Linked DNA regions of Tamandua tetradactyla. The main gene of each other region encodes a partner of the protein of the gene in region 3 in a complex. Links are inferred from orthologs where the notes say so. Each region holds a gene or a part of one and is shown on either strand. Other genes may lie near its edges.

Evidence for each region.
Region 1: the proteins of CCKBR (region 3) and GNAQ are in contact, whole or in part, in a cryo-EM structure (PDB 7F8W), measured with the Homo sapiens proteins. The link is inferred for Tamandua tetradactyla from reciprocal best matches to the Homo sapiens genes CCKBR and GNAQ. Residues at the interface, in NP_795344.1 of Homo sapiens: Thr87, Val88, Thr89, Asn90, Glu151, Arg152, Ala155, Ile156, Pro159, Leu160, Ala162, Arg163, Val164, Trp165, Gln166, Thr167, Ile241, Leu245, Gly248, Leu249, Val331, Leu335, His394, Arg396, Phe397; in NP_002063.2 of Homo sapiens: Arg30, Arg34, Asp35, Arg37, Arg38, Leu40, Ser198, Val199, Phe341, Lys345, Asp346, Ile348, Leu349, Gln350, Asn352, Leu353, Lys354, Glu355, Tyr356, Asn357, Leu358, Val359.
Region 2: the proteins of CCKBR (region 3) and GNAI2 are in contact, whole or in part, in a cryo-EM structure (PDB 7F8V), measured with the Homo sapiens proteins. The link is inferred for Tamandua tetradactyla from reciprocal best matches to the Homo sapiens genes CCKBR and GNAI2. Residues at the interface, in NP_795344.1 of Homo sapiens: Thr87, Thr89, Arg152, Ala155, Ile156, Pro159, Leu160, Ala162, Arg163, Val164, Thr167, Ser169, Ile241, Gly248, Leu249, Lys328, Val331, Leu335, His394, Arg396; in NP_002061.1 of Homo sapiens: Glu28, Ala31, Arg32, Glu33, Val34, Lys193, Leu195, Thr220, Phe337, Thr341, Asp342, Ile344, Ile345, Asn348, Leu349, Lys350, Asp351, Cys352, Gly353, Leu354, Phe355.
Region 4: the proteins of CCKBR (region 3) and GAST are in contact, whole or in part, in a cryo-EM structure (PDB 7XOW), measured with the Homo sapiens proteins. The link is inferred for Tamandua tetradactyla from reciprocal best matches to the Homo sapiens genes CCKBR and GAST. Residues at the interface, in NP_795344.1 of Homo sapiens: Cys107, Pro114, Asn115, Gly118, Thr119, Phe120, Met134, Gly135, Val138, Tyr189, Gln204, Cys205, His207, Leu222, Val349, Tyr350, Ala352, Asn353, Arg356, Pro361, Ala363, His364, Leu367, Ser368, Ile372, His376, Tyr380; in NP_000796.1 of Homo sapiens: Glu85, Ala86, Tyr87, Gly88, Trp89, Met90, Asp91, Phe92.

Annotation. Positions count from the first base shown.
Region 1 is NC_135328.1:108,702,335-108,709,734, reverse strand, and holds the start of GNAQ (guanine nucleotide-binding protein G(q) subunit alpha), read left to right. Parts: upstream 1-4,387; 5' UTR 4,388-4,466; coding exon 4,467-4,602; intron 4,603-7,400.
Region 2 is NC_135341.1:35,847,416-35,854,426, reverse strand, and holds the start of GNAI2 (guanine nucleotide-binding protein G(i) subunit alpha-2), read left to right. Parts: upstream 1-3,997; 5' UTR 3,998-4,014; coding exon 4,015-4,132; intron 4,133-7,011. UniProt on the Homo sapiens protein: Guanine nucleotide-binding proteins (G proteins) are involved as modulators or transducers in various transmembrane signaling systems.
Region 3 is NC_135334.1:79,677,825-79,684,856, reverse strand, and holds the start of CCKBR (gastrin/cholecystokinin type B receptor), read right to left. Parts: upstream 3,017-7,032; 5' UTR 2,916-3,016; coding exon 2,765-2,915; intron 1-2,764. UniProt on the Homo sapiens protein: Receptor for gastrin and cholecystokinin. The CCK-B receptors occur throughout the central nervous system where they modulate anxiety, analgesia, arousal, and neuroleptic activity.
Region 4 is NC_135332.1:25,473,220-25,480,181, reverse strand, and holds GAST (gastrin), read left to right. Parts: upstream 1-4,405; 5' UTR 4,406-4,471; coding exon 4,472-4,538; intron 4,539-5,899; coding exon 5,900-6,115; intron 6,116-6,274; coding exon 6,275-6,378; 3' UTR 6,379-6,444; downstream 6,445-6,962. UniProt on the Homo sapiens protein: Gastrin stimulates the stomach mucosa to produce and secrete hydrochloric acid and the pancreas to secrete its digestive enzymes. It also stimulates smooth muscle contraction and increases blood circulation and water secretion in the stomach and intestine.

The DNA.
Region 1 (7,400 bases), on a different chromosome or scaffold from region 3:
TAGACTATTAAGCCTTTAAGGGCTGTGGATGCCTCAGGCACCTGGCCATTTGCAAGCGTGTTTGTCGTTAATATAGTTGATGGCACTCTCTTATTTATTCAGCATTTACTGAGTGTCAGTTTTAGGCTAGGCAATTTTTTAGGTGCCCTGAAAACAGTTACGACAGACAAGGGCTCTGCTCTCAGGCAGCACCTAATCTTCTGGGGGAGAGATGCAATTACATTACAGTGTTGTGGGACATGCCATACATTGTCAGAGAGTCATGGATTATTCTATCGGCTTTTCCTTCCTTTTACAAGAAAGGGCTTTTCCCTTTTTGCTTCCAGGAACACTCCTTGAGATATCAAACGACGTTTTTACCGTTGTTTCCCCCCCCCAGTACCCAAAAGAAATTGTGGGCTAGGTATCTGTCTCAGGATACCACAGAAGACGTGACAGTCTTCACATTTTTGTAGAGTTGCCTCTGAATTTCAATGCTCCCAGGGTTTTTGTACTTTGCTTTTCAGCCATCTAGTACTTGCCCTTGCATTCTTAAAATGGTTTATTATCTCACTGTCTGTTTGGGGTGAGTTGCTGATTGGTTGTTATGGGGGTGTAGATATATATTTATTGAAACCCTGTTTATTCTCAAATGCCACATTTCCTGTAGTTATCTTGAGTTCTACACAGAATGAATGTTTTTTCTTTTTTTATACATTTGTATTGTTACTTCTACCCCTACCTTAATACAAATTGATTTTATTGTAGTAATTCAGAGTCTCATTATACCTTGAGACCATAAGCCTCTAGAGGGCCAGAGCAGCATTTTATTCATCATAGTCTCTCTTCCTGCACCTTCACCTTGGTTATTTCTAAATAGTCGGCACTGAGTTAGTTTGTTGACTCAGCAACCTGGAATTTTGCAATATTTTGTAATTTTGTAATATGGTGTGGTAGCTTGAGTTACGTACCCCGGATTAATTTGATTACATTTTTTTTCTTTTTTTTTTAGCATGGCAGGCTCCTGGAATCAAACCCGGGTCTCTGACATGGCAGGCAAGAATTCTGCCACTGAGCCACTGTTGCACTGCCCTGTGTACCCGGATTTAGACATGTGCTTGGTCTTAATCCGCCTTCCTGTGGGTGTGCATCCACAATGAATAGAACATCTTGAAGATGTTCTTTTTGGTTAAGGTGTGGCTCAACTGAATGAGGCTGGGTCTTAAACTGGATTACCGGAATACTCTATAGACTGAAGAAATTCAAACATAGGAGCTGGAAGCTGGAAGTCAGTCAACAGAACTGGGAAGGGAGAGGAGAGGACATCAACATGTGATAGGAAAACCAAGGGACTCACGATTGCCTGCCAGCCAGAATGCTACCAACTGAAACTGAGAACCAATAAAGTCCTGTTTTTAAGCCAATTCATTGTGTGGTATTTGTCGTAGCAGCTGGGAAACTAAGGTACTTGGTTAGTTGCATATTTTTAAATGTCTAGAACACGATCAACAACTTGAGTAGTTCCTGCATGAATTTTGTTTGTTTGATGTAGGTCTTATCAATGCTTGCTTGATGAATGCTTCCCATATATACATATAAAGGTTTCTGGGTAGGTCTGGGTTAGTACATAGAATTTTCTTGTCTTACTTTCTTCTTGCCATCCATATATGGCTCCATCCCTACAGAGTATTGTATACCTTATTTCCTGATTTCTTCCCAACATATGAAAAAATATGTTTTTATTGATTTTTTGTATCCATTCCAATATTTATTGGGTGCCAGGGAGTGGGGATATAGGGGTGACAAAACAGACTTTGATTCTACAATCTGTTACAAGTTTAATTCTTTTAATCAAATAGATCAATTCAGTCTAAATGGATTGCCTGATAGCTTGATAGCACAGTTTGAGAGACATTTTCAAAAGCCTCACATGGATCCATGGGTAGGAAACCAGAGAATTGAGGCCTCCTGTCATTTGTTTTTCTGTCTCTCTGAAACTTGTGTATATACATATTTTAGAGGATGCAAACTCATAGTTAAGTTTCCCCCAGAGGTATTCTAAACTTTTGCATGTTAAATTTTAATCTTTAATTTCATTAGTCACCTAATTTAAAATGTTAATTTCATATCAAGTTGTAAGCTTTCACATAAAAGGTGTGAGGTTTGTCTTCTCTGCTCTCCTGGCCATGGTGAACATTAATCATTTTCTAGGCTGAATATCTTTTTATGAAGGGAACCTACAATATCAGATCTTATATCTTTATGACTTGTTTGATCTGAGTCCTCGCTGAGAAAGAGAGAGAAGGGGACAAGGGATGGGCTGTAGCAAATGAAGGAAGGAAATCACATACCTATCATCCAAAAACCCTATGTGCATTCTTGACTTGCGGCACTAGCACAGTCAAAACTTTACACTCTGGATGAGCAAGTTCCACCAGAAACATCTCAGAGAAAATATGAAATTTGAAAAAGACATTCCCTTCCTAAGATGTAGTTTACTCTCAAGATGTCAGGTTCCATCACAGCTGGAAGTAATATAGGTGTCATCTCTTGTAGCCACTAGAACTAAACGCTTCAGCAAGGAGATTTTGTTCTTGCTGCCATTTATCGGTAGTGTATCACAACGAAAGATGCAAACGACATTTTCAAGTGCCTTAATCAAAAGTGGGAAAAAAATAACCTAGAATGGGATTTTGCTGGGTCGGTGTTTGTTTCCCCATTTTCTATTTTATTCTTTCCTTTTCATTTATTCAATGTGCATAGAATGCACGCGCAATAGAACCTCTGTCTAGGGGAATAAAGTAAGTTTGATTACTTGGCTGTTACACATCCTGAGCCTTTTCAAAACAAAAGGAGAACTTGTAAAATATAAAAGCCAGAAACAACCTCAATTGCATGAAAAGTTGGAGGCCATCAGGAAACTCTTGGGCAGCTTCATTTTCTCGGCTCTGGATTTAGATTTGTATCTGCAGTGACTTTGTGGACGGTTTCGCCTATTAATGATCTCCTTAACCCCTCTGGGAGCCAGTGACAATTCCTTCTCTTCTCCACCCCACAATCAAGAGTATCTTATTTTCTAAGACTGAACTCGGGTCAGAGGTGACGCGAGATATTTTCTAACCGAATGGCGTTTTAGAACGTTTAGGAACGGGAAAGAATGCATATGTGGTTGAAGAGCTGCTCCGCCGAGCAGAAAGACGCTGCCTGAGAGCCGTGGGCGCGAGCGCCTCCGCCGCCCGCGGGGTAGCCAGGCAGGGTGTCCGCGGCGCCAGCCTGTTCAGTGAGTTCGCGGGTCTAAATCCTGCCACTTCCAGGAGGGGCTGAGGCCGCGTACCCAGGCTGGTGGGCCGAAAGGCAGCCAGAGGCAGCCATATTCCCGCTTTACCACGCCCGGGCGGCCAGCCGGGCAGCTGCAGGTCGGCGGCCGCCCGAGCCGCAGCAGCGGATACCCGTTGGGGCGGCGCGTCGGCGAGCGCGGGCGACCGGGTCCCCGCCCCAACCTCCGCTCTGGGCGGCCGGAACCGCTGCGCCCGCGGGCCCCGCCGAGGGCGCGGGAGCGGAAGGCGACCGCAGAGCCCGAGGGGGCCGGCCCGGCGCGGGGAGCGGCGCGGGCGAGGCGAGAGCCGCACTGGGAGGCGCGTCGCGGCGGCAGCGAGCCCAGGAAAGCCTTCCAAGAGGGGCCGGGCGGCACCGCCTCCCGACTCCCCTCCTCCCGCGTCCATTCCCTCCCTCCCTCACTCCCTCCCCCTCCGCCTCCTCCTACTGCCGCCTCCCTCCCGGATCTGTGCTCCAGTTCAGAGAAAGAAGAAAATGTGTGTGTGTGGCGAGGGGGAGGGCGAGCACTGAGCAGCCGCTCCGCGCCTGGCAATCGGGGCCGGGGCTGGGCGTCTGGCGGAGGCGGAGTGCGCGGCGGTCGGGCGGGCCGGCGAGCGGTGTTTGCGCGCGAGCCGGGCGGTGGGCGCGGGCAGGGCCGAGGGCGCCCGGGAGCCGTGTCAGGCGGCGGCGAGGAGCGGGCGTGCTGGGCGAAGGGAGCCGTCGGCGGCCGCTCGCTGCGGGGACGCCCCGGTGGATGAGCTCTAGCCGCCGGGTGCAGGGCTTAGAGGACCTTCGGCTGCTCGGGGGGCGAGGCGGGTTGCCGGTTCCCGGGGAAGGAGGCGCGGGCGTCTGAGCGAGGCCGGGCGCGGCGGCCTTCCCTCGCGCGCCCCCCGAGCCAGTGCCTGCGACCGCCTCCCGCGCCCGCCTCGCTCCTCCCGCGGCCGAGGCGGCCGATCCGGGCTGCCAGCTCCCGCCGCGCCCCCGGCCCACCTGGTGGCCCCGGCCCTGGCCGCGGCTTCCGCGGAGGCTCCCCGAGCTCGTCCCGGACGCGCGCCCGGGCGGCGGGGGCTCGGCGGCCACCGCTGTCTCGGGGGGGCGAGGGCGGGAGGGTGTGTGTGCGTGCGTGTGAGCAGGGGGTGCCGGCGGGGCTGCAGCGGAGGCACTTTGGAAGAATGACTCTGGAGTCCATCATGGCGTGCTGCCTGAGCGAGGAGGCCAAGGAAGCCCGGCGGATCAACGACGAGATCGAGCGGCAGCTCCGCAGGGACAAGCGGGACGCCCGCCGGGAGCTCAAGCTGTTGCTGCTCGGTGAGTACGGCTCGGGGTCAACCGCCCGGTGCTCTCCACCTGGGGCCTCGCGCCCCGGGTCCGCCGCCCCCGGCCTGTCGGGGCAGCTGCTTTCTTCGGCCCCCGCCCCTGGGCGCCCGCGGCGCGCCCCCGGCCAAAACCCGCACCCGCACCCTGAGCGGGTGCGCGTGCGCGTGCCCACAGACACACACACACACACACACACACACACCACACACGCGCACATGCACACACACACACACGCACGCACGGGCATGGGTCAGGGCTGCCCTGCCCGGTGTCTCGGCGTGTGCCTTTTCGTATCCCCGAGGGCTGTGCATTCGGGGTGCGGGTTTGACTGCTGTGCATTTGTTTAGTGGAAAATCACTTCCCGGCGGAGCGCGGGGGTGGGAAGGTGGGCAGAGGGATTGAACTTCCAGTGTCGTGGCCTTGGTTCTCCTTGGGTGGTGAAGTGAGGAGCTGCATGTGTGAGACCCCGAGGGTGGCGAGCGGATTCAGGACACTCTGAGAGATGGAGTGCGGTGGGATGGTCTGTGTTTCTATTACCAGCGTATGCCGGGGTCAGAACTGAATGGTGGAGTGGTGGGCAGACGCGCGACTGGATTCTCCAAGGAGTGATGTTGAGGGAGCCCAGCAGTGGGCCAGCTAAAGAAAGAGGGCTGATGTATTGGCTAGGGGTCGGGTGGGGGGTGGGGCAAGCCCAAAGGTTGAATTGTTCTCTAGCCACCAGGCCACAGAATGGGGAGACCCCAGAAGAGTTTCTTGGCCATCAGATGGTGACAAGCGCCTTTCTTGTCTGCACCATTCCTTCCGGATAAAGATGAAGGATAAGGGAGCGTTGTACTGTGTGGTTGTTGACAGCGATGGATATCTTTTGTTTAATAAGGCAAACCCAAATGTAGGCCTGAATTCACAATAGTTACTGCTGAAAACCAGTGCAGCCTCCCAGTTATTCTCATGGAAGCAAAGAACAACCTTTTGTTTGTTGAAAACGGACAGCAATTTTAATATCTTTGAAATCTGGGTTGGAAGGGAAAATGGGAAGCATAGGGCAAAAATTTCTCTTTAATCTTTGAAAAAAGAACTGACCATTCTGCTTTAACATTAAGTTAGCGAGAAAATGCCATTTCTCAAAGAGGAATTCTATTGATTATTATCTCTGAGAGAATGTTCAGAATCAAGTCATCAGGGTTCACATACAAGCCACCCTGTCATACTTCTGAGGTATTGTGGAAGGAAGAGCAAACAGCTTTGCAGTTACAGGCCTGAGAAATGCTTCCACTTGTGTTCTGCATACTTGTGTGTATAATACATACGTTTCTCAAATATTTTCTGTAAGAAAAGAAAATTGTATCGTCAGTGAGGGTTTGAGAAGCAGGCATTTTCTTTCTTATCTTGAGCTGTATCTCCTGGTTAAAGGAAACAATTGCCTTTGGGACAGAACTGCTTATGTCCTGGATCATTTGCAAGAAGGAACAAAGTATAATGATCACATATAATTATCAATGGTTAATTCACGTGCCATGGCTTTTTGTCTTCATTTGAAACCCAATTAGATAAATGAGTACGTGTGTATTAAAAACAGAAGGCAAAGCACTGGTTGAAAGAGGTAGGCTTAAGGCAATGAAGCCGGGGTGGAAGATGTAGATTTTTTTTCTTCTTTTTTTGATCCTCTCATTTGGGTTACTTCTAATGGCTGAAAATGGTCTGAATTCCCAAGATGAGGAGAAAATAGAGGGAGCAAGAGGACTTTATAGTGCTTAAGTGCATCATTAAGGGAAAAAAAGTGTTTTAGTGTGATTTGTTTAAAGAATTGTTTTTCTTTGTATTTTGTCTGTTTACAGTTTTATTTGCTTTTGTTTGGCTGTAAATGGGGTGTTTGAGGTCTTTCAAGGCAGCCCTGTTGCCTGAAATGTGGCAGCCTTGGGTTTTGCAGCAGCTGAGGGTTAGAGACCTGGGGGTTTTGTCAAAGGGTCTAGGTTTGAATGGCTAGAAGGAAGACTTCAGGGGAAATGAACACATATGGATGGTCAGTTACATACTGTTTATTTAAATAACCAACTGTGCTTTAAAAATTAACTTGGAGATAATTTGCCAAGGAATAAGAATTAAAGAAAAACAGGTTTACTGCTATGGTGGTGGTAGTATGGATAACTTTTTTTTCCTATTAGATATTTGAGAAGGGTTTCATACAGTCTCCTGCTTTCCTCAAATATGGCCTGTTAGAAGTGGTAGAAAAATATATTAATTTAGAGCCCACTTGCATTAGTTAGATTTAAAAATTATACAGCTTGCTATCAGAAACGTGATTCGAAGACATCATGTAAGAATTGCTACAGCTTCATGTTCTAAATATGTTGCTTTGGTGACAACTGCTGCAATACTTACACTATATATATAGTCATACTATCACTAAATGTAGATTTGTTCATGTGTATGGGTGTGTGAATTCCTGATTTTCTGGGCCTTGCAGGGAAATGATGGTTGATTTCTGGAACAAGGAGAGGTGCAGGGAGGGCTTCCTTTTACTCCTGATGTCTGGTGATGATGAGTGAACTTTGTGTTCTGACTCCTTCATTCATTTAAATAGTACTTATTAGGAGAAGGTTATGGCCTTTCACAGTTTAAAAATTTACTAATATTTTAAACCTAATTTATTTAAATTAAGGAATTACCCATGTATGGAAATTTCAGCATAAAACTTTTTAAAGTAAATTTTATTTCAAAGCATGATGCCATTTTAATGAATTTGTTTGGCATGGATAGAAATGCATTTATTTACATAATTAGTTTATTTT
Region 2 (7,011 bases), on a different chromosome or scaffold from region 3:
GACTCTGGGCAGGAGAGGCCAGGTATAAATACCCACCCGAAACTGCCTTTGGGGAAGTGCTGGCAGCTTCCTCTTCCTGGAACCTCTGTACTGAGGGGTGGGGGTGGGGCCACAGTCCACTGAGGGGGTACAGTGGGGGACCACTGTACCTCCACTGCTTAGGGCCTGTGCACAATAGGAACTTAGAACAATCTGGACCCACTCAGTGGCCTGTGGTGAGCTCCAAGGCTGTTCTGGTTGTTCTGGGGTGAGCCAGCAGCTACCACTTTTCCACTTCAGCTGGAGTGCCATGCTTGGCTCTGCTGGATGATGTGTCACTGCCCTTCTCAGTCTAGTGCAGGTGGTGCTGGGCTGGCATGTATGAGGACAAGTCACACCTCCTTTGCAGCCCATGAGGTCCTGGGCAAGCAGCCACACCCTATCCCAAAAAGTGTCTCCCCAGGATTCTGGGCTATTAAGGAATCAGGATGGGTGAACAAGGATGGAGATCATTTTCCTCTCCTGGGCTTCAGTTGACTCAACTGCAAAGTAAGGAATTTCTCCAGTTCTGAGACTTGATTTTCCCTCTGGTCCTTCCCGAAACCCACCCTCTCAGTCCTGCCTCCCTACCTTTGCATGTGTTGCTCCCTTTTCCTGGAATTACCTTCCACATTGCTTTTCTCTCTAGCACTCCCCACATCACCTCTGCTGAGAAGGTTCCCTGACCTTCCCAGGCACGATTGGTTTTTCCCTTTTCTGCATATACAACTATACTGAATATTTTTCTAGTGGTAACTCTCCCAGCTCCAGGGTGGGAGAACTCGTGGAAGGGTGGGGGAGGATTTGGGTCATTCATTAATTTAATTTGAAAAATATGACCTGCCACCCTGAAGGAACAGCATTTTGCTACAAGGAACCTGGAGTCAGGGACCTGGGTGGGGAAGACATCCCATCGTGGGATTGGGCTGGGGAAGGGGATGCTCCAGGACAGTAGGAGTCAAAGAGCCCTTCCGCACAGCCAGGGAATGAAAGATGGAAAGGGTGGGGTTGGGGGGATTAATAAAGAGAGGGAAGGGGCGGGAAGGGGGGATAAGCAAGGCATACCAGATGGCTGGAGTGCTGGCGTATTGCAAGTGGAGGGAGAGGACATGGACCAGAGGGTGAGGATAGCCCCTACAGGGCCTTACAGAAATCACTATAATAACAACTCATTCCTTTTGAGGACTTTCCATGTGTCAGCCTTGTCTGAGCATTTTACCTACATTTCCTCCCTTAGTCCTAACCTTGGCCGGTGCGGTGGGTAAGTATCACAGTCACCAAACTGTTCTACTTAGAAGAAAACTGAGGCACAAGGAGATTCCAATATTTGTTCAAAGTCATGCAACCAGCAAGTTTGGCTCCTCCCCAGAGTCCTTGCTGCCAATGATGACTTTATCACCTCCTGCACTGTCCAAAGCAGTGTGCATGGGCTTTATCTCACCCTCAGAGCCCTGGAGAACCACAGAAGGTTTGTGAGCAAGAAAGTGATGTGATTTGATTCAGTAGGATTCCCTTGGCTGCTGTGTGCAGAATGGGCTGTAGTGGGGACACAGGGAGCCAGGGAGGAGGCTGGAAGCCTAGAATGAGGGACAGTGGGGACACAGAACTGCCACAAGTTTGAGGTGGAATTGAGGAAGGGAAAGGGCTAACAGAATGTAGGGGTGGGGAAGGGGAATTAATGGTTCTGGCTGGTGGGAGGGACCATGAAATGGTGGGATGCTCAGACTAGGGGCCAGTGGGGGTAGGTTGTACCCCGTTCAGGATTACGTACTCTTGAGGTGTGTAGGTGGCTGGGGGAAGCCTCCAAGGAGTTGTGGGCATGGGGCTGGCAATCAGAGTAGAGGGCAGTCTAGAGATGACTGTGTGGGGTCCTGAGCCCTTGGAGTGGGATGTGTGTAACTGGAGTGGCAAGTGGAGGCCTGGGCAGATCCCCAGGGATGAAGACAGAAAGGGAGCCTTTGGAAGGTTGGAAGGACGGGAGTGCTGGACTCTCTCACAGGAGCATGTGGCTGGAAGGAAGTGGCTGGCTGGTGGGAATGATGCAGGGAGATCCAGTGTACCAGCACAGCCACAGGACCTGGTTTGAGGCTGCTGGCGCCATGCCTTCCAGTAGCCCTGCCCTGCCCTGCCTCTATTGATTGGGGTCTGTGTCTCGCCCACCTCTGGAGAGCCGGGCCTCCAAGGGGCTGACAGGTTCTCCTTGTTGCCCAGCAACTGCAAGAGCTGTCGGCTGTTGCTAGGAGCCAACCGGGGGAGGCCTGAGGAGTGAGGATCAGTTCTCAGGCCGGGGCGGGGCTGGCAGGGAAGAGGCCTGCCTTGGGTTTGTAGTCTGTCCGAGGACAGGCTGTGTTCTTGGCCACGTACTCCCATTTTTATAGTGTGTTCTGTAGATGTGAGGCATGCTGGAGACTGGACCTCTATGTGGATGTATAGAGCGTGTCTCCGGCTGGGTCTGTGTCCAGGCTTATATTAGGGCATGTCTCCTGGATGGACATTACAGGTTTCTGCTATGTTTGTAAGATGCCCGTGGCAGGGCCTGCTGGAGTTTGGGTTCCAGGCAGGAGGGGGCCTGAGGAAACCATTGGAGGGCCTACAGGCCAATGGCCCTTCAAATAAGGGAGCCATTCAGATAGGGGTATCCAGGGAGAGTGGATAGCCAACCTGGGGACTGGAAACCGGGACAAGGTATGTGTGGAGGGGGGTCTGTGCTGAACAGGGGTCTGCCGGTGGACAAGCTCCCCACCTGACTTCATGGACTTTCCCTATTTCTGGGGCCTCCTGGGCTCATGGCAACTAGGACCACATGGAATCCTTTTCTGGGTAATCCTTGGCAGACCCCTTCAAATGCCAGGCCAAGGCTGTGGACTCCTGCGGGGTACCAGGATCAGAAAGACCAAAGCATTCAGGCACTGAGGCTGCTGCTCCCACCCCAGCTTTGCCTGTGGTGGTTGGTGAATAGGCTACAGGGTTGCAGCTACCTGTGGAGAGAAAGGCCACGAAGAATAGGCTGAGGTCGTGGCTACCACCAGTGGAGGACAGGCCCTGGAGGGGACAGGTCATAAGATCCTAGCAACTTCTGTTTTGAGAAGGCGGGTGGCAGCTGTCTCTCTTCTCTTTTTCTCAGGGCCCTGGCTACCCATTCCCAGCCTGTAGTCCAGGATGGCTGCCTGCAGGAGGAAATCTCCCAGCAGATCAGGAAAGGATGGACAAGCCTTGGATGAGCAGAAGAATAACCCCCCGCTGGTGGAAACAGCTTGGGCCAAAGTGTAGAGGTGGCAATCGATTTCATTTTCTTTGTTTTGCTGCAACCCAGGGAGAGAAGAGGGCAAACCTGCCTTAAGATAGAAAACTGCAGTCTTAAAGAGCTCCCGGGTTTGGGTAGATCCCGACACAAGTTTAAGGGGTTCGTTAACTTGTGACGAAGACACGCCTCTTCCACCTCACTCGCCTAACTCGCGGAAGCTCAGAGGGCGGGTTCCTGCTCCACCCGGGAGGTGCAGCGGTCCCCTAGCCTCGGGCTACCAGAACCTCCCACCGCCGCCGTCGGGCCGCAGAGCTCCAGACGCTTGGCTCCGCATCCAATCGAAGCCCGGCCCCGCCTGAAGCCCTCTCGGAGCCCAATCCGAGCGTTTACTCTACCTCTAGTGCCTACTCTCGGCGTGGCCCCGCCTCCAGCCCTGGCCCAAGGCTGGGCCCTGCCCAGCTTCATCCGCCGCTCCGCCCTCTAACCAATCACCGGCCTCGGATCTCTTCTGGGCCCGCCTCCGGACCCGCCCCGGCCCAGTCCCAGGCCTGGCTCGCTCGGGCCCCACCCCTGGCCCGCCCCGCCGTCGGTGCACGGCGGCGGGCAAGGCACCGCCCGCAGACGCTCGGAACTGTCGACCCGAGAGCTGCCCGCAGAGGGCCGGTGGCCGGAGCGGAGTTGGTCGGGCGGGGCCGAGCCGGGCCGGGGGCCGTGTGGGGGCCGGGCGGCGGCCGGGCCGGGCGGACGGCGGGATGGGCTGCACCGTGAGCGCCGAGGACAAGGCGGCGGCCGAGCGCTCCAAAATGATCGATAAGAACCTGCGGGAGGACGGCGAAAAGGCGGCGCGGGAGGTGAAGTTGCTGCTGCTGGGTGAGGCCGCGCCCCGCGCTGAGATACCCCCCTCCCCCCTTACCCTCCCGCCCCCTCCCTCAGTTCTGCCAGATTCCCAGACAAGGACTTCGAACTCGTAGACAAGGGCTTCGGACCTCCCCTTCGCTCCCGCCCGCGTCTGGACCCCCAAGCCTGGCCTGAAACCCCAGTCGGACCGTCACATAAGGATCCGAAATCCTAAGCTGAAGTCCAGGCTCTAGATAAGAATCCCAAATCATTCCAGACTCCAAACACCCAAACCCAGCCACCAGGCCCCCAACACCAGCTACCCAGAACCCTGCTTGACCATCCCTTGCCGACCAAACTTATAGACCCTCAGAAGCTGCCATCTTGTCTTTCCATCCTTCTTTAGACTTTACTCAAAGCCCCAGAACCCTACCTCGCCTTTACGTTCAGTCTCCACCTGTTCCCCTCACCTGCTCCCTCGTATTCCTATTGGGCATGAGCATCCCTGGGGCCCCTCCCAGGCCCCCCCCACTCCCTCCTTCCCCTCCTGTGCCCCATCCATACTCTGAACTTTATATCTTCTACCTGTGACCTCGGATTTTAAGACATCTCCTGCGTGAGAACCCACGATAGGGCACCCCTCACTCCAGCTGGAATCCCCGAACCTGTAGACGCTCTGCTCCCTGACTTCGGCCCCCCAGGTCCTCTGCAGGCATCACTCCCCAAAACGCTGTGCACACCCTCTCCCACTCTCTGGCCTTCCCCAGGTTCGCCTACCCCTGCACTATTGGGCCGGGCCAGGAGGAGGGGCCCAGGGGCTAGGGTGAGGTAGCAGGCTCGTTAGACCTCCCAGGAGGGGGCTGGAGTGAAGCCCCACTCAGGCTTCTCTGGGAGTTTCCGCTTGCATTACCTTTTTAAGTTTCAAGACCTACTCCTGTGAGCCCCCAGGCAGTAGGAGGGTGTGTGGGGGAGGGGCAGGGGTGAGTTGTTGGGGTGGAGTGGGGGTTGCGGCCACTTCCAAGGCCCGGGAAGATGGTGGCTGCTCAAATGGTGGAGGGAAGTGGAAGTGGTGAGACAGCCGACATATTGCCGCCCCTGCGGGCGGGCTGAGATCCGCTGACGGCTTGGGAACTGGCCTGAAGAGCTGGTCTGAGGCCTTCGGAGTGGATGGAGCTGTAGTATCCTGGGACCCTCCTAGTGGGGGAGTGGTGGACCAGCTTCATGAGGGTATGGGGGACCAGCTGGGGGTCAGTCAGGTGCCTCTGAGCCTCTGCGCTAGGCTTTTGCAAAGGTGGGGGGTCCGGTGGACATCCTGGACCAGCTCCCCATGGGGAAGCTTGAAAGCCTGATTTGGGGATTTCAAGGGGTTTTATGGGAGGCCCCCACAACAGTGTTAGAGGCTGAATAGTATATGTGTGTGGGGGTGTGGCCCCTCGGCCTCAGAGCTGCTGTGGAGACCTCAGGTTGTGAAAAGCAGAGCTTTGCAGGCTGGGCCTGTGGCTGAGGGACAGCAAATAACTGTCCATTCATGGGCCCATCTGTTGACTGTCCCCAGGGGCCTGGCCTCAGGGGCGCAGCCCCAGAGGTTTCAAAATGGCATCCGCTCTGCTGCCGCCGCCGCAGGGAGGAAGAGAAGGGGCGGGAAGGGGCGGCGGCCCAGCCTCCTGGGCTGCTTTGCGTTGGGCGCTTGCCTCTTCCTGTCTCTGCTGCTGCGAAGAGCGGCGGCGGCAATGAGTGGGTGTCGACGCGGCGGAATGCTTGTTGCTGCCCGCTGGGCCTGGGGAGGGCACTTCCGGTCCTACAGCCTCTCGGTGCTCAGCTTGGGGTCTCTAGCTATCCCCTTACCCAGTCGATTAAGCTGGTGGCTAAGGAGATGTGGGACTAGAGTAGAGGTGGGGACACAGGGCTCCTGGCCTATTCTATGCCCCAGCCCTAGAAAGGCCCTCCGTCCTGCCAGGATTGCCCCTTGGAGCTCGGCTCAGCTTTTGGGCCAGGCCAGGTGGAGCCCAGTAACCCCTCCTACACTGAGCTGGCAGCAGCCAGGAGTGCAGTATCGGTCAGCATTTTCTAGCTTGGTGAGCCCATCCCAGCATCCTGCCTCTCTGGCCTTTTCTTCCTCTCTGAAATGGGCTTCCTGGGCTGGCCAGGGAAGGGCCACAGGAGTGCCAGGGCCCAGCTGGGAGAGAATAGGAGCTTCAGGGAGGTTTCTGTTGGTGATGTGAGTAGGGGTTAGGACCTGCAGAGCATATACTGCAAGGGGCTGGGAGAGCAAGCTCTTCCTGAAATTGAAGATTTAATCTGCCACAGTTGCCTGGGGAGCAGTCCTGGCTGACCCATCCTTTTTCCCTCCAGGTACATAGTGGTGGTGGGAGCTTGGCTGTGGCAGGTTCAGAGTGCTGGGCGCCTGTCCCACATAGCGGGAGAGACTCTGTCTGGGCAACGGGACTTGGGCTGGGCATTTGCCAGCCTTCCCTCCCAGCCAGAGCCACGCCTGCTGCCCCACCCGCATACAGGCTCCCTCCCGCTCGGGGTGGCCCGGCCAGTGGGCGGGTACATTCATTGTCACTGGGGCAGAAGCAGACATGGTACACATTGGCGAGAGGACTTTCATTAGATAGCTTGGTGGGGGGAGCAGAGGAGCTGAAAGCTGCTGTACTCCGGGGATACCCTCACCCCACCAGTTCAGCTTGATTGAGTTCAGGTGGAAATCAGGTCCTTGGGCTGGACACGTAGGGGAAAAGGAACCCAAAGCCCAAGGGAAGTCTCTGTTTTGGGGTTGGGCTTATGTGGGCAGCCTCACAGAAGAAAGGAGAGGCAGGGCCCACGGATGGGTCCAAGAGAGCTTCAGGGTACAAATACAGAAGTTCTCTTGCCCCTGGGCTGTTGCACCTGCTATTCCCATTGCTTGGCCT
Region 3 (7,032 bases):
GCTCTATTACTCCACCTCCTATTTTCTTAGGCATCCTTGCTCTATTGACACCCCCTCTCCTGCGCCTTTAACCTTCCTCTGCCCATCAGTACTCTTAAAGTGCTCTTGTCTCTACTACACCATGCCCCCCTCCTGCCCCTGCCCAAATCCAAAGGACAAAGCTACACAAACACATCCACAACTCCTTCTAAGGACTTCCTTGTTATTTACTCCAAAGAACACTGCTCTGTCTTTATCTGACTTGATTTTTTTGCCAGCGTTTGAAATCAATTACCCCATCCTGCTGGAAACTCTATTTTTCCTTGGCTTCTGGAAAGACATAGCTCCCATCTCTCTAATAGTTTCATCTAAATTTCCATGGACTCTCCTTCCTCTGCCTGGTTTTTGAAAATTGGACTTCTGCAGGGTTTTGCCTCAGGTTCTCTTTTTCTTTCATTCTATACAATCTTTGGGTGATTTTCACTATTCCCATAACTTCCATTATCTCCATTGGCAAAAGGCTTTCAAATGTGTATTTCCAGCTCAGGCCTCTCCCCTAAATTTCAGATCCATGCATTCAACAGTTTTCAGAACAACTCCATCTGGGTGTCCCACTGACATTTAAACTCAGTGGGTTCCAAAGTGAATTTATAATCTCTTCTGAATCTATTTTCTGTTCTTTCGTTATCCTTCACATTATATAGAACCAATACCCATCGAATACATTGCCCTAGCCAGAAACCTGGTTGTCATCCCTGGACCTCTTCCTCAGTCTCCCCTTTTAATCAGACACCAAGTCCTGTTGATTCTACTTCCAGAAGTAGTTCTCCAAATCCATTCACCTCTCTCCTTCCCTCTGCGACTCACTTCATCTAAGCCAGTGTCATCTTTCATATGTATCACTGTAATAGCATTCTAAAGTATCCCCCTGCCTTCCATCTCAACAACTAGTCCCAGTTTCAGTAGTTTCTATGGCCCTCAGGATAAAATACATACTCCTTAGCTAGATATACAGTATTCTCTATAAACCCTCTAGGCTCCAGCCTGAGTGTTCATTACTCCTCTCTTAGGGAATTTGATACAGTCACACAAAAATATGTCACATTGAGTAAAAGTGCCATGGATTTAAACTTTGGGCTTTCACACATCCTGCCTCTCTGCTTGGGATTTTTTCTTTTTTACCTGTTCTGCCCCATTCACCCTTCTGGCTCTCTCTCATTTTTCTGATTTCAAATTAGATGTCACTTCCTCAGAAGGCCAACCTTGATTTCCAAGGCCATGTGCCCACAGCCCTACCAAGGTATTTTCCATTTTGTGCTGCAGTTCCTTGGTTACTTGCCTGTCTCCCATACTAACCTGTGAGCTCCATGAAGCAGAGACTGTGTCAGTTTTGTTCAATTCATGTCCCTGGCACCTAGCACAGTCTCTTGTTCAGTAAACATTTTTGAATGAAAGAATCTGAGTGTGTGTGTGAGTGTGTATAATAACGGAGCTGAGAAAGCATGTGTTATTTTGTGGCATAAATAAGTACTCAGACCACAGTTTATTTCAAGTTTCTTTCCCTTTTCGGGCTTGGAATAATTTACTTCTGCTTAATACTTTTACCTCTCCTGGAATACCCCTCTTTCCTTTTCTGCCTACTGAACTCCAACTTCAAAATTTGGCTCCTGGATTCCCTTCTCTGTGAAGTTAGTGGACTCTGTCAGGCTGTGGTAATTAGTTTTCTCTTTTGGGTACCCACAAGTCAGACCCTTTCATAGTACTTCCTATGCTAACTGTGCTATATCCACGGGCTTGTCTCTTCTCTATACTTGATTATGAACTGATGAGAGCCGAGACTGGGTCTAATTTTTCCTTGTGTCCCCAGAACCTAGCTCAGGGACTAGGATAGCAGATGTACACTAAACATTTAAGGAAAGGAGGAGTGCAAGAAGGGAAAAATGATGTACTTTGAGCTGGATCATCCAGAAAATGCTAAGGTGAGCTGATGGGAAGAGTGAAATTCATTTTGGTGGTGGTGGTGGTGGGGGGGACTGGGTGATTGGAAGCAGTCCGAAGGAGGTAGGAAGAGAGAAGGTGGTGGCACAAAGGGATGGAACCAGTCTCTGTGAGGATGAGCCCTAAGGAGAGACAAGCTATGCTAGGGGCTTGGAGGAACTTAGCGACATCACTTGGAAACAGAGAAAGAGAAGGTAGAGAGCTTTGAGAAGAACTCCAGCTTGGGAGGCAGAGAGGTTTGAGGATGAGTAAAATAGAGGCAGACAGCTCTGGGGAGCAGCCCCCAGGGTCCAGCCTAATCCAGGCATGAGGATGTCATTTGGGAAGGCTAGGGGGTGGGGTGGGGGACACAAGAAATAACTCAGCTTCCCATCAGGCCTTCCAGAGTGCTCTTCCCACAATCTTGTCCCCACCTTCCCCCCAATCTTTCCTTTCTTTCTTCTCTTCCCCTGTATGGCACTGTGGATGGGATGTACAAGAGAGACCTGGAAGGTTTGGCAAGAGAAGGTCCTTGCTTCTCCACTGTCTGTGTCAAGGAGGGGGATGTGTGTTGGGGAGGGGGCTGTGTTTTCAGAGAAGGTCTGTGAAGAGGCTGCGATGTGATGGAGTTGTAAGAACTGTGGGGCCCCATGTGTGAGAGAGGCCGTTTGGGGGCTGAGAGAGTGCTCTGAGGGGGACGGTGTGGGCGTCCGAGGAGGCAGTGTGGAGGCCGTGGGGGGCCGCTCTTAGAGTCCTGAGGTGCTGTGAGAAGGAGCTTGTGGGGGGGGGGGCTTAGGGAGACACCCACCTCGTGTCCCGGCTCCGCGGAGGCGAGGGGGGTCGCAGCTGTGGTTGCCAGTACTGCTGCTGTTGAGGAGGAGGCCCCCGGGACGGCACAGAGAAGCCCCCGGCCCGGGTCCGGGTCCCAGCACGCTCCGATTCAGCCTCGGTAGCTCCATGGCCCCCGCCGGGCCCGCCGCCTCCCTCAGCTGGGCCGGGCGGACTCCTGCAGCAGCTCCACCTGGGCGCGCGGCGATTCCGGCTCAGGCTCCCACCCCCGAAGCGCCCCCAACCCCGGCCCCGGCCCCTGCCCCTCCACTCCCACTCTGCGCGCCGCGCCGAGGCTCCCGCCCCTCCCCGGCTCGGGGCCGCATCTGTCCCCCCAGGTGACTCCTCTGCCCACCCCGTCCCGCCCCCACCCCCACCCCTGCGTGACTGTTCTCCGAGGCTCGACCCCCTCCCTAGATGTCTCCCGTCTCCTCTCACAGATTTCCTTCCCGCCAGCCTCCCCTCCCCTCCACCGCCCTGGGTTCTGGGGAATTCTTGGCTTTCGCTGGGGAGCGTGTGTGCTTGCGTGCGTGTGTGTGTGTGCGTGTGCGTGTGTTGTGTGTGTGTTGGCGGGAGGGAGAGTTAGAGGGGTGAGGGAGGGCGCGGCTGGCGCGGAGCGCTGCATCTCTCCCGGGTGGAGCAGGGACTTGGAGGTGTCGTCGGAGGCGGGGTCTGCTCGCAGGGGGCACCGGCCGCGGCGCGATGCCTCACCAGGTGCTCAGCGCCGCGGTTACCAGAAATTGTGCCGCAGTGGCCTCAGCCATCGCGGCACTGTCGCTGCCATCGTGCCCTGCAGCTCCTCGCGTGGGCCTGGGGTAACTGCTGCAGCTGCCCCGTACCCTCCGCCTTCTACCGCCCAACACCCAAAGAGTCTTCAGCAGCGGGCATGGTTGGGGGTGCAGGACAGTTGTCCCCAGGGGTCTCCTGACAGGGGAAAGTGCTGCCGGGAGCAAGAGTCTGCCTTGGCTGTCGGAGTCCGCCTGGGGTGGTGACACCTGCCCAGGATAAATGGGGGGTGGTGGGTGATTGTGAAACCTTGTGGCTAATGTTCCCTTTATCCAGGGTATGGACAGGTGAGAAAAACAAAACAAAACAAAACAAACATGTAACCCATAACAAAATCCGAAATATATTTACTAATTGTTGCACTGTGTTTTGAAATTTATTGCTTTTTTGTATATATGGTATTTTTTCACACACACACACAAGTCGATTGTGATGAAAAAAATACTCATTTCCTCTAATCCCTAATGTTCTGGAGCAACTAGAAGGAAAAATCTGAGATGGTATGGTTGCCCATGACAAACTCTGGGCTCTGTCCTGTAACTACTTGTTGAAGAGTCCTTTGAAAACTGTTGCTTTTTTCTTTCTTTGCTTTGTATCTACGTTATATTATACAATTTAAAAAGTTTAAAAAATAAGGACAAAAAATAAATAATGGGGGTGGACAGAAAGTAAAAAAAAAAATGGGTAGTTTGTGATATTAGTGATCAGGGAGAGGGATGGGTAAGGGGTATGGGATGTATTTATTTTTATTTTTATTTTTTTTTCAGGAGTGATGGAAATGCTGTAAAAATGATCACAGTGATGAATACATAACTATTGTGAGCCACTGATTGCATACTTTGGATGGACTGTATGGTACATGAAGATATCTCAATAAAATATTTTAAAAATAGCACTATCTTTTTTTAAAAAATTGATAAATTAGACTTCATCAAAATTTAAAACTTTTGTTCTGTGAAATACACTGTTAAAAGGATGAAAAGACAAGCTACTGTAATGGAGAGGCTGAGCCTACCTTAATTATGCCTAAGAGTCATCTCCAGAGGACCTCTTTTGTTGCTCAAGTGTGGTCTCTCTCTCACTAAGCCTGGCTCTGCAAGTAAACTCATTACTCTCTCCATGTGGGACATGACTTCCCGGGGCATAAGTCTCCTTCGCAACACGGGACATGACTCCTGGGGATGAGCCTGGCCCTGGCATCATGGGATTGACAATGACTACCTGACCAAAAGGGGGGAAAGAAATGTAGCAAAATAAGGTTTCAGTGGCCAAGAGATTTCAAATAGAGTTGAGAGATTACTCTGGAGGTTACTCTTATGCAAGCTTTAGCTAGATATTGAAAATTGCCACAGTATACCAAGCCCCAATCAATAGTATTCCTAAAAGCCCTAAAGAATACCCAGGGCTCTATCTGAGCCTCTATAAATGTTCACTCACTAAGTTTACCTTTCAGAAACCTAAAACTTTTCAGATTGTTCTTATGCCAGATAAGTCCTGAAACCCAGAGGTACCTGTCTCACCAAGAACCTCAACCAGTTGCATCTCCCTACTCCATAATATTGACACCCCTTTTTAACATGAAGAGTTAGAGTGGTCATTGCCCAAATATCCCTAAAGATTGGGAGAAGGATGAAAGGAGAAGCAGGAATTATAACAGAGAAGATAGGATTTAACAAATGAGTATGACTGCTGAATCATTGTATTGATATTTCTTTTTAGTCTCCAGTGTATTAGAGCAACGAGAAGGAAATAACCTGAAATTGTGACACTGTAACCTATACCATACTTTGAAATTTGTTTTATAACTACTTGTTCGATTGTACTCTGAAATTTATCAATATTTGCATATATGTTATATTTCACAATAAAAATATTGAAAAAAAAAAAGCAATGGGCATGGGGGTGGGTTGGGATATGGTTCCAACCTTCCGCGGTCTCCAGGCAGCACTCACCCCTACCCGACTCGCTGACGCTCCCTGTTTGCTCTCAGGGCAGGTGGACCTGCCTGTGTAGGGCAACAGGTTCCCACGAGAGGGGGCTGGAAGGGGGTTGGGACACTGGGGTGAATCAGGAACAAAGATGAATGGGGTGTGTGCAGGATCTGAGGTGGGTTCAGCTACTTGGAGCAGGACTTACTTCTCCTAATATTTCAGCCCAGGTGGCCGTCCACTCTCCTCTATTTCAAAGAAACTCTACAATGAACAGAAGTTGCATCCTCTGGCTATTCAGTAGTTGTAAGAGGTGGGGGCATCAGTCAAAGGGCGGATTAGAGTGGTGATGGGGTCTGGGTTTATGGGGAATTCAGAGTCTTTATCCAAGCGGTCGTGTAGGGAAAACTTGGTCCAGCCAGCTGCTCCCTCTTCCCTTCCTCCTGGCACTGCCTGCTTTGCCCAGTGAGAAAACCTGGACCGGGAGAGCTCGGCTTACTGTTTGTTCAGCTTCAGCCCAGGTGGGGCCACAGATAACCTACTGGATTTTTTTCCCACATTGGCTAGAAGGAGGGGGTGGGGTGGGAGAGCAAAGGGAATGTAGGGGAGAAAGGAGTGGAAATAGGAGAGGTAGACGGGCAGTCACTTATTCAGCAAACATGTGCCAGGTATAGGGCTGCACACTAGCTGTCTGATACAGTCTGTGCCTGAGTGGCTCCCAATGAGGTAGGCAGAGAATGACAGATGTGCCAAAGATTGCAATATATGGTCATAAATGCATCCACAAAGAGGCACAAATCAGAAATTTAGGAAAATTCCTTGATGCCTTGCTTTCTTTTCTTCCTGTAGCAGAGGCTGTTGTTCAAAGCCCAGACTCCCCTTCAAAAATGAAGGTTTATTCTCCAGCTGCTGGAAGGCTGCTGGCAGACAGCCCTTCAGGGTCCCCGTCCAGAGTTCCCTGAGCTGAAGAGAGCAGGTTCATCCAAGGTGATGTTTCTTTCCTGGGGTATTCTGTATCCAGTGACTGATCAACACAAAGGTATAAAGGTCCAGTCTCCTCTCCCCAGTGGAGGACAACTCTGAAAGACCTCCACAGTCCCAGAGCGCCTCAAGAGGTTGACTGAGGCCTTTGCTGGGGCCACATTACTGATCAGCTTCCTCCTTTGCCCAATTTGGATTAATTTCTTTCTCTTGCATAGATGTTGACTCCAACAGCACTCCTTAGCAAACATGCTACATGGTAATCTCTGTGTTATAGTCTGCATCCCAGAGAACCCAAGTGCTTCACTCCTATTTTCAGTCAGTCATGAAGTTCTGTTGATTTTATCTAAGTATTTGAATCAATCTGCTTCTCTCTCCCTGACATTACTCTATTGTCATCCTGCTCCCTTGCACTACTCTTCTAGGTTCCTAAACAGTCCACTGCATTTAACTGATGCCTCCTTACATCCATCCTCCACCCTATAACCAGTGATATTTTCACGATATAAAATCTGATTGTGCTACTCTTCTGCTGTTTGCTTTTGGGATAAAG
Region 4 (6,962 bases), on a different chromosome or scaffold from region 3:
CAGTACAAGCAAAAAGTATTTGTAAAATTAATTTTCCATCGCTCTTTTATGTAAATTAGATGCTCTTCATCAATGTAAGTGTAATTTTCTAAAACAAAGCTATCAAAAGCCAGCATTTATGTCAGGAATATTAATTCCTTTTTTTTTTTGAAATTTATGTCAGGAATATTAATTTCTTTTTTTGAAATTTGTGGCAGTAATTCAATCTGCAAACAAAGTTTGGCTTTGAATTTTTTCCATTATGGTAAAACACATAAAACATGAAATTTACCATTTGAATCATTGTAATCACAATTTAATGGCATTAATTCGCAATGTTGTGCAACCATCGCACATTTTGTTCCCAATATTTTTCATCACCCAAACAAACTCCATACCCATTAAGCAATAACTTCCTTTTCCTTGTCTCCACAGCCCTGGTAACCTCTCATCTACTTTCTGTCCCTGCGAATTTGCCTACATATATAACTGGAATCTTCATATAACTAGAATCATACAATATGTCCTTTTGTGTCTGGCTTATTTCACTTAGCCTAATGTTTTCAAGGTTCATCCATGTCAGAGGGGTCTCAGCACTTCATCGCTTGTTATGGCCCAGTAATATCCCACTGCGTGGATGAAACATATTTTATTTCTCCATTCATCTGCTGAGGACACTTGGTTTATTCCCACTTTTTGGCTGTTGTGAATAACGCTGCTGTGAACTTTGGCATATAAACACCTGTTTGAGTCTCTGCTGGATGTGATTTTGCATTTTATGTGAGATGAGAGATGTCCCACGAGCACTCGGTCAATAATGGAAATAGTGGAAGGTGTTACTAAGATACGGGAGGCAAAAAAATTCCAAGGTGGAGGCCAGGCAGTGAGCCAGGAGGCAGGAGAAGCAAAACATGGATAGACCCGGGAAGAGCTGGTGTGAGGTCCACGTGGAGGAGAGGCATGAACTCCAGACGGGTACAGGACATACGGAAGGAGCAAGGAAACGGGGAGAATATTCTGGAAGTCAGCAGGAAGCAACAGCATGGAGAGGGTGCCAGTAGGCTGTGATAAGGAAATTCTAATAATGAGACCAGACCCTTCCTTAGAGTTCAGCACGTATCAGACACCATGCGAAATGCTAGAGCATCCTATTTAACCTCACCATGGCCCTCCATGGTAGGTGTTAAGTATTATCCCCACTTTACAGGTAAGGAAACTGAGACCTAGAGAGTCGAAACTAGAGAGTCGAAGTGACTTGTCTTAGGTTGCAAGTGCCAGAGCTGGGGACTCCAAAGCCTCCTTGCCCAGTCCTTTCACATATACAAATGTCCTCCCTGCACACAGCCTCGTGGACAGCCCCAGGGACCCATCCCGCGGATTCTGATCTGATAGGACTGAGGGGCAGCCTGGGCCTTGGACAATTAGAATTGCCAAGTGGTCCTTGGGTTGAGAGCCACTGCTTCAAAGTCACAAGTAGGCATCAGAAGAGAAGGGGAGCTGGGTGGGTCAGGGAGAGAGGGCAGAGGCAGGAGTGGGGGGGTCCTCTGCTCTCTCTCACGTGCAGCCAGACCAGCTGCCTTGCCTGACGTGTGAGGGGGGCCCCCCAGCTCAGCCTGAGGGCTGCACACGAGGCTGTCCTACCTTATCACTCACACCACAGAACGTATAAGCCCACTTCCCCCTGTCCAGCGCCCGACATGGACACCGTGTCCGCGCAATCACCTCCCAGGTGTCACTGTTTGTCCCCGGCCAGTCCACCACTCCCTCTGAGGCCCTGGTTGCCTAGGGCAGTGTGACCGAGTCCTCACCAGCCTCTCCCTCTTCCGCTATCAATAACCAATTAGGAAGCTGAGCACCGCGTCCCTGACAGCAGTTTGCAGGCAGTAGATAGTGACCCGTTTCCCAAAGCTCGGCCCTGGCAGGCAGGAGTGTGGTCAGCTGTGCCAAGTCCCTATTGGAGACTCTCCCCACCAGAGAGGGTTCTCCCCTCCACAGGGCACCCTCCGCTGTTAGGGCATTTGTTTTTTGGGTACCTCTCTTCTCCCAGAATCTAAATTCCGTGAAAGCTATGGAAAGGCTGGTGGTTTTCACCTCTTGCCCATGGGGTCTCCTTCCTAGTGAGGCCGAGGTCCCACTTTCTGGATGTGTGAACTCAGGGCGGGGGTTGATTCCTGCCTGAGCCTCAGTTTCTTCATCGGCGGGAAGGGGACACACCAGTACTTATGTCCTAGGATTGTGAAGAAGAGCAGCCGGGCCCAGTGGCACACAGCACTGTCATTGTGATGGCAGGGGCAGGGTCCATAAGCAAGGATGGGGGTCCAGGGCCTGGGTTCTAGTCCTCAGCTCATTAGGCTCAGACACTGAATTTTCTGGGTATTGGAGTCAGCGTTGGAGCCAGGATGCGAACTCTGGCCCTGGGGTTCTTGACCCCCTGCATGCTAGTAAGTGCCGGTCTCAGGGCTGGCCTCCACTGGCCCCAGCCCTGCCGCCTCCTCCAGGGCTGATTCAGGGTGGGGTCCCTCTGCCTTGAGGCCATGGGATTTGGAGTCGCAGAGCGATGCTTTTTAGGGAACTACCCTCCTTTAAGCTCTGGGGGGAGAGAAGCTCCTCTGCATATGCCAACAGCGTGCACAGGCCTTGTCACATTTCTCCTTCACTGCAGCCCTGCAAGGTAGGAATGAACGACTCCCATTTCATACCTGAGACTGACTGAGGCCCAGAGGGGCTAAGGGGGAGGGAGGATCCTAACCAAATCAGATCCCTCCCTCCTGAGCACCGTGCCTCTTCTGGGCATCACCTTCACGGGCCCCTCCAGGTTATCTCCCTCAATTCCTGGAGGAGAAAACTGCTCAGAGATGGGGACAGACTTGCCCAAAACTCAAAAGCTAGAAAAGGGCAGAGCCTTGCCTTTCCCATCAGCGTCCCCAGGCGAGGAGAACTTGCAGCTCCCGGGACAGTGAGCTCCTTGTGGGGAGCGCGGCCTTTCTCATCCCCAGTGTGCCTCCACCCCCTGCCCTGCTCAGCTCCCAGAACCTGAATGCAGCACCCCCAGCCCCCATCCCCCCAGCTCCCGAGCGGAAGGACACACTTGGATTTGGTGAAATCGCCAGGCCTCGTGCAAACAGCCTGAGGAAAATCAGCCAGGGAAGGCATAACCCTTCCAAGGGCCAGAATAGAGAGTTTCGGGCTCTGATACCACCAGGGTCCGGCTGAAGGCTGGTCATTTATCATCACCATGGCAACATGAGTATCTCTAGTCCCCCAGGATGGGAGCGGAGCTGCTGCCCACCCCACCCTGCCCTTCCATCTCTGAGCATCAGAGACACAGCTATTTACGGCCAATCCCTGCACTGCTTTTGTCATTTTCATTTATTCCATCTGCTAAGTATACAGTCCTGCTATGAATTAGAGCGGCCAGAACATTTGGCCACTGGTTGCCTGGGACACCCCCCAGCCTGCATCACCACTGCCCCTTACCAGGGTCCCAGGGGCACCAAACCTACCCCAGACAAGGGGGGCCCCGATGACGCATGCACGAGAACTGAATCTCCAGTACCAACTGCAGAAAAATAAAAAACAGCTAAGAGCTAGTTACATCCGCTCAAACCGAGTTGAGGCAGCAGTTTATCAAATAAATCAGCAAGCATACCATTGCATTTTCTGGAAGGTCTTTGACACAACTTTCTGTTTGCGAGCCATTTTAAGATGAATTTTCATTTTGGAAAGTTGTGACTGCATTAGGCAGGAGACTATCTCCCCTGGGCAGCAAGGTGAGGAGGCTGGCAAGGCAGGACCCTCAAGGAATTGGCTCAGGGTACAGAGTTCGAGGGAGGTGGGGCGTGGGGTGGGGGGAGCCAGAAGCTAAATCCAAGCCAGCCCAGAAAGGCATAAGGAGAAGGGAGAGGCCGGGAGTTTTCCAGGGTTAGAGGAGGGGGCAGAGCCTTCCGAGGCAACCAGGACACGACAGCAGGGCCATCAGCCCATGGCCCATTGCCCCTGATAACCACGACACGTCCTGTTTGCAGAGCCCGGCAGAGGAGACAGGGGATCGATACATCACCCCACATTCACGCACTCCCTGCTCTTCAAACACCAGCGTCTGGTGAAATGTGCCTTCTTCAAATCTAAGATCATTCGGTCCATCTGCCTCCCCTGCCCGGCGATGGGACGCAGTACAAGGGATGGTCCCCAGAGACCAGCACCTCCTACCTGCCCTCACATCCCACTGAAAAGCAATCCCCCTCCCCACTCCTGCCCTTACCCCATGAAGTCAGCACCCCTTCTCTACCCCCACATCCTGGACAATTGAGTGACACTAAATGGCAGGGTGGGGCAGAGGTGATGGGCTGTACTTCTGCCCCACCCCCATCCCTCCTTCTGCCAGGTGGGGAGCCTCCCATGCCTCCTTCTGCCAGGGGGGGAGCCTGGCTTCATAGGGAGGAGGCCTTGGGAGGGAGCTTGGGGGCTTTATAAAGCCGGCCTGGGGCAGCTGATGGAGCAGAGTGCTGCGAGCCACCGGGTTTGGCACTGCACCCGTGCCCATCTCTCCAGATCTGCAGGTGAGAAAACCCAGGAGGAGAGGGAGATGCCGGGAAGAGGGCTGACAGGTCCTCCGTCCACCTCCATGCAAGGGGTCAGGCCCCCGGCCAGAGCAGAGACCAGGGCTCAGCCCTTGTGTCTCTGAGAGGGGACCCCCCCCCCCGCTTAGCCCACGGTAGAAGCAGCCCAGGCCCACCTGCCCTGGGCCCTGACCCTCTCGCCCAGGCTCACTCCAAACCTGGAGATGGGGAGGACAAAGGCTTCTCTCCCCGCTCTCAGATGAGAAAGTTGAGGCCCACAGGGGAGCTGTGACTGACCGAAGTCACTCAAATGAGGGGCAGATCTGGGCCTGGAATCCACAGCTCCTGGGACCCAACTCAAGCTCTTTCCCAGACCAGCCCTATCTAAAAGCTCTTTTCTAGACCAGCCATTTCCACAACGATAGAAACGTAAATCTGTGCCGTTCACTCCAGTAGCCACTGGCCACATCCACGCTAGAAATGTGGCTGGTGTGCTGATTAAATGAACTTTTAATTTTCATTAATTGAAATTTCTAGAGCATGTGTGGCTGGTGATGCTTTCCAACTTTGTTTCTTTAGCTGCAGAACTCGTTTTCTTTCACAGGAAATCTAACAGACACCCCACCACCGCCACCACATTAAGAAAAACAGATAAAAGCAGTGTTTTATTAGTACAAATGTATTCTTATGAGGTCAAAGTTATATCATCTACTTAAGATAACAGTAACACATCAGAACAATGAGGTGCAAGCAATAACATTTGAATTTTATATTTGTTGGCGCATCCAGTTTATTTCTCTACATGGTTTCCCCAAACTTGCCTCACCCTGATAAACAGTTGCAAATGCTGACAGTTTGAGGTTTTTTTAAACAGCTTAATTGAGATCACAGGTTATTGCTCAGTTGAGTAAAAATAGCAGGAGAGCCTTCCCTCCAAGAACTGCCCCAAAACGGTAGGTTGCCGCCCCACGAGTAAACAGGTGGGTGGGCTCCATGGTGTTTCCAGGTGTATATAATGTAGCTGAGGGTGTGTGTTCCTTTGGCATTATGATTTACAAATTTGCTTTAAGTTCCAAGACTCCAACATTTACAGAGCCGCCGACAGGGCCTCGAGCTCTACAGAACAGTTTGGAGCCGTTGCTCTAGGTTTTTAATTCCTCCAGAAGAAGCTGTTGCTGTGCTTGGGGAGATGGGCAGGCAAGGTGCAAGGCTGGGGGGCCTGAATAGAGCTGGAAGGAACTGCAGAAATGGAGCCCACGGTCTATGGGGAGATTCGCAGAGTCCTTCTGGTCCAGCCCCCTGCCTCCAGACCTGCCTGGGGACAGCCCCATCTTTAAGCTCGGCCCATCTCCCCTTTGCAGACAAGATGCAGCAACTGTTCGCATACGTGCTCATCTCTGCGCTGGCGCTGGCCGCCTTCTCGGACGCGTCTTGGAAGCCCCCCTTCCAGCTGCAGAACGAGCCCGTGGGCCCACTGGCCAGCAAGGGCCTGGAGCCTCCCCAGTCCCACCACCTGGGCCTGATCTCTCCCCACCGAAGGCAGCTGGGGCTCCAGGACCCCCCACACATCGTGGCAGGTAGGAGTTGCCAATGGCCATCCCCACTTTTCTAATCCAGCCAGGTTCCGGCCAAGTTCCACCCACCGGCCGGGAAGCCAAGTGCCCCTGCTCACCACCACCTCCTCTCCTGTGCACCCCCAGCACCCCTTGACGCTTCCCTCTTGTCCCGCTCCTCAGACCTGTCCAAGAAGCAAGGGCCGTGGCTGGAGGAAGAGGAGGAGGCGTACGGCTGGATGGACTTCGGTCGCCGCAGTGCTGAGGAGGGCGCTGAGCGCCCTTAGAACCACGTTTCGGCCCCAGCCCCACCCTGTCCTGTGAAAAGCAAATCCGAATAAACTCGCTTCTGATGGTGCACCTGGAGTCAAGTGTAGTGGGGCCGGGGAGGGGGCCTTGGTGGGGGGCAGAGCTGGGGCAGGGAGGCCCCCCCAGGATAACTCCTCTCTGCCTCCCCAGACCCCAGCTCTGAGCAAGAATCTGCACATGTGGGTGGGAAAATGGGATTGCAGCCAGAGCAAGCTTTTGAAAGACGAAGCAAATCATTGGCAGCTTAAACCATCCAATGCTTCCCATCGCACTTAGGATAAAATACCAAAGCCCTAAAGAGCTGTCTCCCTCTCTCCCCTCTTCTGTGCCACTCCCTTCCTCTCCTCTCTTCCTTTTTGTTACACAGACACTCCATGTTCTTTCCCGCTCAGGACCTCTGTCCTTGCTGTTCCCTGGGCCTGGAATGTCCTTCCTTGGGCACAGTGCATGGCTGGTGCCTTTTTCTCTCTGGGGTTTTAGTTGAAATGCTTTCTCCTCAGGGACCCACTCTTCACATGAACACCCCATTATTCTCTATCACGACATCCTGCTTTCTTAGCAC